2 linked regions of the Arabidopsis thaliana genome follow. The protein of the gene in region 2 interacts with the protein of the main gene of each other region in a pairwise test. Each region holds a gene or a part of one and is shown on either strand. Other genes may lie near its edges.

The links. The genes of interacting proteins can lie anywhere in the genome.
Region 1: the proteins of AT5G13780 (region 2) and EIL1 interact in a two-hybrid assay, tested with the Arabidopsis thaliana proteins (one large-scale study listed by BioGRID).

The regions. Positions count from the first base shown.
Region 1 is NC_003071.7:11,544,001-11,548,837, reverse strand, and holds EIL1 (ETHYLENE-INSENSITIVE3-like 1), read right to left. Parts: upstream 3,183-4,837; 5' UTR 2,846-3,182; intron 2,571-2,845; 5' UTR 2,525-2,570; coding exon 770-2,524; 3' UTR 545-769; downstream 1-544. UniProt on the Arabidopsis thaliana protein: Probable transcription factor acting as a positive regulator in the ethylene response pathway. Could bind the primary ethylene response element present in the ETHYLENE-RESPONSE-FACTOR1 promoter.
Region 2 is NC_003076.8:4,446,704-4,450,290, reverse strand, and holds AT5G13780 (Acyl-CoA N-acyltransferases (NAT) superfamily protein), read left to right. Parts: upstream 1-1,615; 5' UTR 1,616-1,687; coding exon 1,688-1,987; intron 1,988-2,402; coding exon 2,403-2,681; 3' UTR 2,682-3,000; downstream 3,001-3,587. Other genes in the region: AGL15 (AGAMOUS-like 15), read left to right, coding at 1-42, 147-246, 318-359, 572-613, 688-839, 998-1,163; AT5G13770 (Pentatricopeptide repeat (PPR-like) superfamily protein), read right to left, coding at 3,001-3,587. UniProt on the Arabidopsis thaliana protein: Catalytic subunit of the NatA N-alpha-acetyltransferase complex. Required for male gametocyte development, embryogenesis, suspensor development and the formation of the quiescent center (QC) in the root meristem.

The DNA.
Region 1 (4,837 bases), on a different chromosome or scaffold from region 2:
TGGGGTTTCACAACGCATATCACATGGCCTGTCCTCCAATTCCAAAATAAAGGAGACAACAACGTTTGTCTTCTCTTCCTCCCAAAAACACTCTCACCATTTTTGGCTTTTTTCACCTTATTATTATATAAATATCCGTTTTGGATTACAATGTGGATAAAAAAAGTTACATTAGAATTTGCCAGTGGTGAAGAAGAAGCCACAGTAGCCGACACTGATGCAATTGTTGGCAACCTGTTACTATATTATTCAATTGTGTTTGACCAAACAAATTATAAGAGAATATACTTTCTACATGAAAGCAAAGAAGATAACTTATATTATAAGATAAATGCTTTTTATAACCCTATAAATATGGCTAAGCCATGTGTTTTTCTTATGATATTGATTATTGAATTGAGTTGACTAGAGAACAACCAACAAAAATGACAGACTTAACACTTAAAAGAAAAAGAGAAAAAAGAGAAGAGTTCCATATTGTTTCATGATTGTTATGCTGGCTACTTGAACTTATACGGTTAAACCCAAAGATTAAAAAATAGAACTCAAAGAATCAAACTTGTAGCATGAGAATGATGTTCAATGGATAGTGACATTATTAAAACAATGAAGCGAGTTAAATGACTTTCAGACACAAAAAAAATAGATGGCTTCATCATCATCAACAATATAGATGAGTGTTTGGTGCCAATAGAATACATACCCAAGTCAGGTAAGTAGGTAACAGAGTTATTATGAAAGAATGAATGTTACAGAGATTGTGTAATATTCAGAACCATATTGATACATCTTGCTGCTGCTGCTGCTGCTGCTGCTGCTTCCCCATTCCTTCCATTGCTCCGGTTTGCCAATCATCTCTGTAATCGAATGCTGCCATATCGAATGGTGTCGAATCAAACACCATCTGGAACCGATTGTTAACCCCGTTGTTCGTCCCTTGTTGCATAAACATTTGATTGCCACTGTTGAAATTCAGCTGCTGATTCTGAGCTGCTTTTGCATCAATGACCATGCTTTGGTTTTCCATCAAAGTAGGAGGCGTTTGGTTGCTTTGGACATTTCTGTCGTACATGGCCATAAGCTCGGTGATCATCTTCTGCCCGTTTTCCGGAACTCCAACGCCCGATAGGTCGATCGGTTGGACTGGTTGCTGAGGAACTACTAGTTTCATTCCACCCATATGAAACTTGGATGCTCCATACGCTAAACGATTGTCTCTATATGGACAAACCATCTGGTGGTTGTCCCTTGAACTCCTGTCTTGAAATCCAAGATTCATTTTGCTGTGAGGACACTGACCATTCTCACAAGTGTAACCTGCTGATCTGTCCATTACCATAACATTCATATCATTGTTCTGCTTCCTCTTTCTCGTGAACTCTAAGTTTACCGTGGTGGCGACCTCCTCCTTTATGGGAAAATGTTGCATTTTAGCAACCCCAAAGCTTGCTAGAGGATGCATCATCACTATCTCTGGTTTCCGCTCTTCCACATCGAAACCATGTTGTTCCTTCTCGAAACCTTCAACGTCATACTCGCTACAATCATTAATGAGAAGCGACCCGCTTCCTAATGATGAAGAAGAAGAAAGAGGAGGGCATGACTCGGGATAAAGCTCCCGAGCCACAACCTCTTCTTGGTTAATAATGGCAAGCCAAGTAGCACTCTCTTTCGCCGTCATCTTATCCTGCAAGCATTTTGATTGCCTCACAAGCTTACGGATCTTCGCAATATCCGGCGACATATGCTTGATCACCGCAGTTAAAACACCGACTTTCCAAGCTTTCTTCAAATCATGAGGCTTCTTATAAGGAGGAGGACCTTGCTCATTTGGTAAACCAAGCTGAGGCCACCACTCTTCATTCCCATTAGGCCACCAAGGTGGAGAAACTCCTTTCTCCAAAGGAAACCGTCTCTGCGGTGGATCACAATGTTGCATCAAAGCCGATAAAAGCGAACCAAGAGTCGTGTCCTGAAGCTCCTGAAGCGTATGCGGTGTTGGACCAACCAAGCTGTTACAATCATTACTCCCTCCAGAAATATTATTCTCTGACTGATACTTAGCAATAGCAGCTGGACCATTACGATCAAACCTAACCTTATCTTTCCACCATTCCCTCAAATTATCCGAAGCACCAGTCACAGGCTTACCCTTCTCAGGAATAATACCATAAACAAAGCCTTGAGCTTTACAAACTTCCATCATCTTCAACATATACTTCAAGATCCCATCTTGGGCTCTAGACATTTTCTTCCTCCTAGCTTGCTCTTGCGACTGCCTCTGTTTCGAACCATCGACGCCTTCTTTACACTTACTCTGTTGCTCCTTGAGACGTTTCAAACGCATTTTGTCTCTCCACATCCTCTTCTCAAGCTCATCCACATCCATCTCATCATCGGTGTAGTCGACATCTTCAACTACAGGTTCTTGTTCAGCTTGTGGTAATGGACACACATCGAGAGATGTGGAGGAAGAGAAGAAATCCATGTTTCCATACATTCCCATCTCGTTAAACATCATCATGTCTCTTCCACCACAATCAAGAACAGAGCCTATCGATTTCTTTAACCTGAAAAAGAAAAAAAAACTTATAAGCTTTCTTTGATCAAACAAATCACCAGAAGCTAAAAACAACAAATCAAGCTTAAGGGTCAAAAACAAAAAAAAAAACTAAAGAGACTAAGAAGTAATGTTCTCATATCAATACATAGATTGTCAAAATGAATATTATAGACAATAAAACCAAACGATCTAGAAAGAACAGAGAGCCAAAAAAAATCGAAAGTATTATCAACAAAAAATAGAAACAATAATAAGATAAGAAAAGAGACAAAGAGTGTTTGCCTGAAAGAGTTGCAAATAAAGAACACCAAAAGTGGTATCTCTCTCTTGTTTTATAAAAGAAACAGATAAGGAAGTCTTGATGAATCCCCACAACTTCAGAGATGGAGAATAAGAAGAAAAGTCTGTTAAAGATCACATGGGAAGAAAGAAAGAGACATTAATTACTGTGTGGTGGTTTCTGGGTTTGTAGAGTTTGAAGATGAAAGAGAGAGAGAGAGAGAGAGAGACAAGAGGAAGAAGCAGATGCTTTGGTGGGGGGATTTAAAAGATTTAATAACGTCGCACCGTTTCAGTTTTTTCTCACTTTTTTCCAAAATATATAATAAATAAATGAGCATTGATTGACATTTTTAGGATCAAAATGAATGCAATATTCAGTCATAGTCGGTCCGGTCCACAACACAAGATGCGGTAATTGCAGTGTTTGGGAACCAGACCGGGCGTTCGGACCTGTTCTACCGGGATCGCCCGTCTAGTCCAATCCGAGTTGAGTCTACTGTTCACCGCTAAAAAACGCTAAAACTGATCAATATAAAAAAACGGGAATAACAAAATCTAAATCGGAAAAATATTACTAAAATTAAATTTATAGTAAATATTGATTTATATCTTTAAATTTCAACAAAACTAAATAGATATTAAATTTCTGTTGATTTTTCTAATAAATACTGAATATTCGTTGACAATGGCAATGGCTTGAAATGCTAATTAATAAAAATTTGACAACGACCAGATTACACGCATATATGATCCGCATGCAAAAGATGAACAACAACAAGCGCTAGAAAAGGATGAACGTTGTAGAGGTAATAATATGATAACATTAGATCCAAATAGCAAAAGCTCATTAGAATAGTTATGTTACTTTATAATTGGAGACAAAAATTTCACTTTGCTTTCAAAGCAGATTTAATATATAATTTTTGTCTCATATTGAAGGTACCATTGCTTTATAGGAACAATGTTGACGATTCCAGTTTCGGTTGCATCTGCTTAAAGAAGTTTTTCAAAGCTGAAGTTGATCAAATCGTATCTTCGGTCGACTATGTCACAAGAAAGATTGAGTGAGTTGGCTATATTATCAATCGAAAGAGAATTGGTTAGAGACATTGATTTTGAAAGCTTGGTTAACGATTTAGTGGAGAGGAAGGGTCAACAACTGTTTAAGAACTAATATTTAGTTTGTCAATTTTCTTTTTCTTACATGACAATGATGTTTATTTTTTGTAGACGATTTTTTTTTTCGTAAGGATATTTTATTTTTATTCGCTTCTGATACTTGATAGCGCTCGTACGACTCTGGAAACTCAATAGTATATATGAAGCTAAATACGCTCTATATACCACATTTGATGAATTTATGCCTTGAGTCAAGGCATAAAATTCATCTAATTTAGGGATTTTTTGCTTTGACGAAAGCATAGACGAAAGATATAACCTGAGAGAAGGCAACACTGATTCAGTCGAAGACAAGTGAAAACATTCTTCTATCAATACAAGATCGTAACATAAACGTGAACAAGCTCTACTAACTACGAATAATGATAATGGGCTCCATATTTAAGTTATATAGGCAAATGTTTTTGACTTTTGTAACAAAATCAAATTTATCTTCACTTTTCCTAACCTTCCTTTCGCCAACCTCCTCACCTGAGACATGAAGAAGAAACTCTCATGGATCTTAGAGTAAATACATAAATTTCACAGCTCGTCTCATCTTGTACATTGATTTATACATTGTCTCATATACCATCCCTTACACAGTATTAAACACCACTTGTACAGAGTTAAACACACCATCTTGTATACTATCTTTTACATAATCTCACATTATCTTGTACACGGCCTTGTACATCATCTTATACACCTCTGTTTATACCATCTCATACATCCCTTCACGCACACAGCCTAGTATATTATTTTGTACTGAACCATATGAATTATCCCATACACCGTCTTATACACTACCTCGTATACATTTTTGTAAATTGT
Region 2 (3,587 bases):
TATTTTAAAGGATCAACTTTCAAAGCTTCAAGAGAAACATTTGTATGGAAACTAAATAAATCTCACTATGCTTGTTCATTACTTTATTCTTCTCTACTTTGTGTTTGTTTTTAGTGTTTGGCTTTGTGTGTTCTGTTCTGTTGTAGACAACTGCAGGGCAAGGGCTTGAATCCTCTGACCTTTAAAGAGCTGCAAAGCCTTGAGCAGCAACTATATCATGCATTGATTACTGTCAGAGAGCGAAAGGTAACTAGTAATATCACTCTTCCATCATCATTTCTCTTTGCATTGTCCTGATTATGGTTATCTGATTTCAGGAACGATTGCTGACTAACCAACTTGAAGAATCACGCCTCAAGGTAAACACTAGCTTTTCCTCTCTAGCTTCCAAATGTAAGCTTATGTGTAATCACATGATTCTGAACCTTGTTAAAACCAGTGGCTATCCTTTGACAAGCTCATGCTCTAACTAGCTAGTGTGCAGTTTATTTGTCTTAAGACTCCTATATAACTAGGTACAGAGTGCAAAAGTATAATTCGTTTCTTGATTAGCCATATATATACTTTGCAGGAACAACGAGCAGAGTTGGAAAACGAGACCTTGCGTAGACAGGTTCTTATTATTTTTGTTGAATCATCTCCTAATGAACGCTTCTTCCTCTGACTTGTAATTACTTGTTGAAACAGGTTCAAGAACTGAGGAGCTTTCTCCCGTCGTTCACCCACTATGTTCCATCCTACATCAAATGCTTTGCTATAGATCCAAAGAACGCTCTCATAAACCACGACAGTAAATGCAGCCTCCAGAACACCGATTCAGACACAACTTTGCAATTAGGGTATTGCTCTTTTAAGTCTATTTGCTGTCATTGGTTGCATTATTGGAAAGCTGATTTAAGATAAATATAAGTCTTTTTCCTCCTCTGTTAGTTATGCATATGCCTTAACACTCACTAACTGGAGTTATAAAATTCTTACTACTTGTGTTTTCTCCAAGGTTGCCGGGAGAGGCACATGATAGAAGGACGAATGAAGGAGAAAGAGAGAGCCCGTCAAGCGATTCAGTGACAACAAACACGAGCAGCGAAACTGCAGAAAGAGGGGATCAGTCTAGTTTAGCAAATTCTCCACCTGAAGCCAAAAGACAAAGGTTCTCTGTTTAGTCCTAGAAAAGTATGGGAGAAGGCTACTAATGTTTCCTCTTTAGCAAGTATCCGATTGTTTTAAAAGTAATTTTAGAGGGATACTTGCAAAAAGAAGAGAAGATTCAGTTATCTAATCTCTGCACCAACTCTCTTTGTCCTTCTTCTTTTGATTATTTCTCGACTGTCTCTCCTATAAAAAAGATATGCCTAGCTGAGAGTTTGAAATCCATAATCTTTACAAGGCACAGAGTTATTTGACATCTCGTATAGTAAGAAAATTTGCGGAGAAATAAGCTTATAGAAAGTGAAGGTTATCGGAATCTTCCTACTCCATTACAATCAAGGCCCAATTGGACCTCAAATCCTAAACTGAAAAAGTTTATAATGAATTTCATTAAATGCCCCTAAAATATAAGCAAAAGTTTCAATAAAGACCTCATATTTCTCTATAATTACAATTCGTCCCCAGATTAATAAAGCCCAAAGGCATTAGACCGAAAACCCTAACCCCTCTTTATCCGCGCGAGAGCAATTGAGCAGCCATGGTTTGCATCAGGCGAGCGACGGTGGATGATCTGCTGGCGATGCAAGCCTGCAATCTCATGTGTCTTCCTGAGAACTACCAGATGAAGTACTACCTCTACCATATCCTCTCATGGCCTCAGCTTCTCTACGTCGCCGAGGACTACAATGGTCGCATCGTTGGCTATGTCTTGGCTAAGATGGAGGAAGAGAGCAACGAGTGCCACGGCCACATCACTTCTCTCGCCGTTCTTCGTACCCATCGCAAGCTCGGTCTCGCCACTAAGCTCATGACCGCCGCTCAAGCTGCCATGGAACAGGTTACTCCTCTAATCTTCAAATTTCGTATATCTTTGCATTCAATTAAGCAGATTCATTGAATTGATATAGAGTTTCGTGTTGAATAATTGGATGATATAGAAGAATTTGTGTGGTTTGAGTTTATGTTGAAGATTGATATAATGGTGTAAGTTAAAGGATTTTATTGAAAGTTAGAAACTTTGTGTGTCAAAGTGATTGTTGCAATTGTCATTGGAATTTGAAGTAACTTAAGCTCTGTAGATTGTATAAAGAGATTAAGTTTTGTCTCCGGTCGTGTTATGCTTTTGACTGACGGAGACGAGTAGTTTCTGATTGCCTGTGAAACTAATAATAGCAGACCTCAAAGGTTGATAGTTGTTTTCACTCTCGAACTTGGACTTTTTAAATTCATTCTCGGTCGGGGTTTTGTGGCAGGTTTACGAGGCTGAGTATGTTTCGTTGCATGTGAGGAGAAGTAACCGAGCAGCATTCAATCTATACACTGAGACATTAGGCTACAAGATTAATGATGTAGAAGCAAAGTACTACGCCGATGGGGAGGATGCTTATGACATGCGGAAGAATCTCAAGGGGAAGCAGAACCATCACCACGCCCACGGTCATCATCATCACCATGGAGGAGGATGTTGTTCTGGTGATGCAAAAGTTGTAGAAACAGCTCAAGCCGTAGATGGTAAAGCAGTTTCCAAATGAGATTCGAAAGCAGATAATTATGAGTATATTGAGGTGGGTTCACTGGCTCGCTCTAGTACTTCTCACTATTTCCATTCATATGATTCCGAGTGACAAATACATTTGGTGACCACTCTGTGTTACTCCTTTGTCTTTCTTTGGTTGTATTGAAAATTTAGCCGTTCCTTTTTTTGATGTATCATTTTGGAAATTCCAAGCTTTCATTAAGGCTTTACAACTTAAGCTGGAAATCTTCTATTTGCAAGATAGCAGATCTCTATTGGCAATATAGTACATTTAATTACAAGAAAAATAATCTTGGCTTGTACAGTTTTCCCTTTCAACTTAAAGTTCCTGTGTTCTTTGTATTCGAATATTTTGAAGTACTAGTTTGTGCAGCGTCAAAGCTTTCCTGTAGCCATCTGATCTGGGAATTGAGACCAGCATCACGCAGAGCATTCAAAGCTGAGGAATAAAGCCTAGCATCAAGCCTGGTTCCTTCAACTTTCATGTCCTGCAACAGCCTCATTAGCTCATCAATCCTACTGGTTTTGGAGAATACACCGACCATGATTCCTGCCATGGCCCTATCAATCTTTCCTCTGTTCATCCTAAACTCCTGGTAAAGCTCCACACATCTCTCCAACTCTTTTGATCTGTTATATGCACTGATCATACTAGTGTAACTCACCTTGTCCGGCAACACCTTCGCCCTCTTCATCTCTTTCCATATCTTTTCAGCCCTCCTTAAGTCCATAGCCCTTCCATGCATATCAATCAAGGAATTGTAAATCCAAATGTTGGGTTTACACCCTCTTTGTTTCATCTTAGCCATGAGTCTCACTGCATCGCTTAGTCTCCGTGTTTTCCCATACATATCCATTATGTTTGAGTATGCAACAACACACTTATCAAACCCCTTCTTCA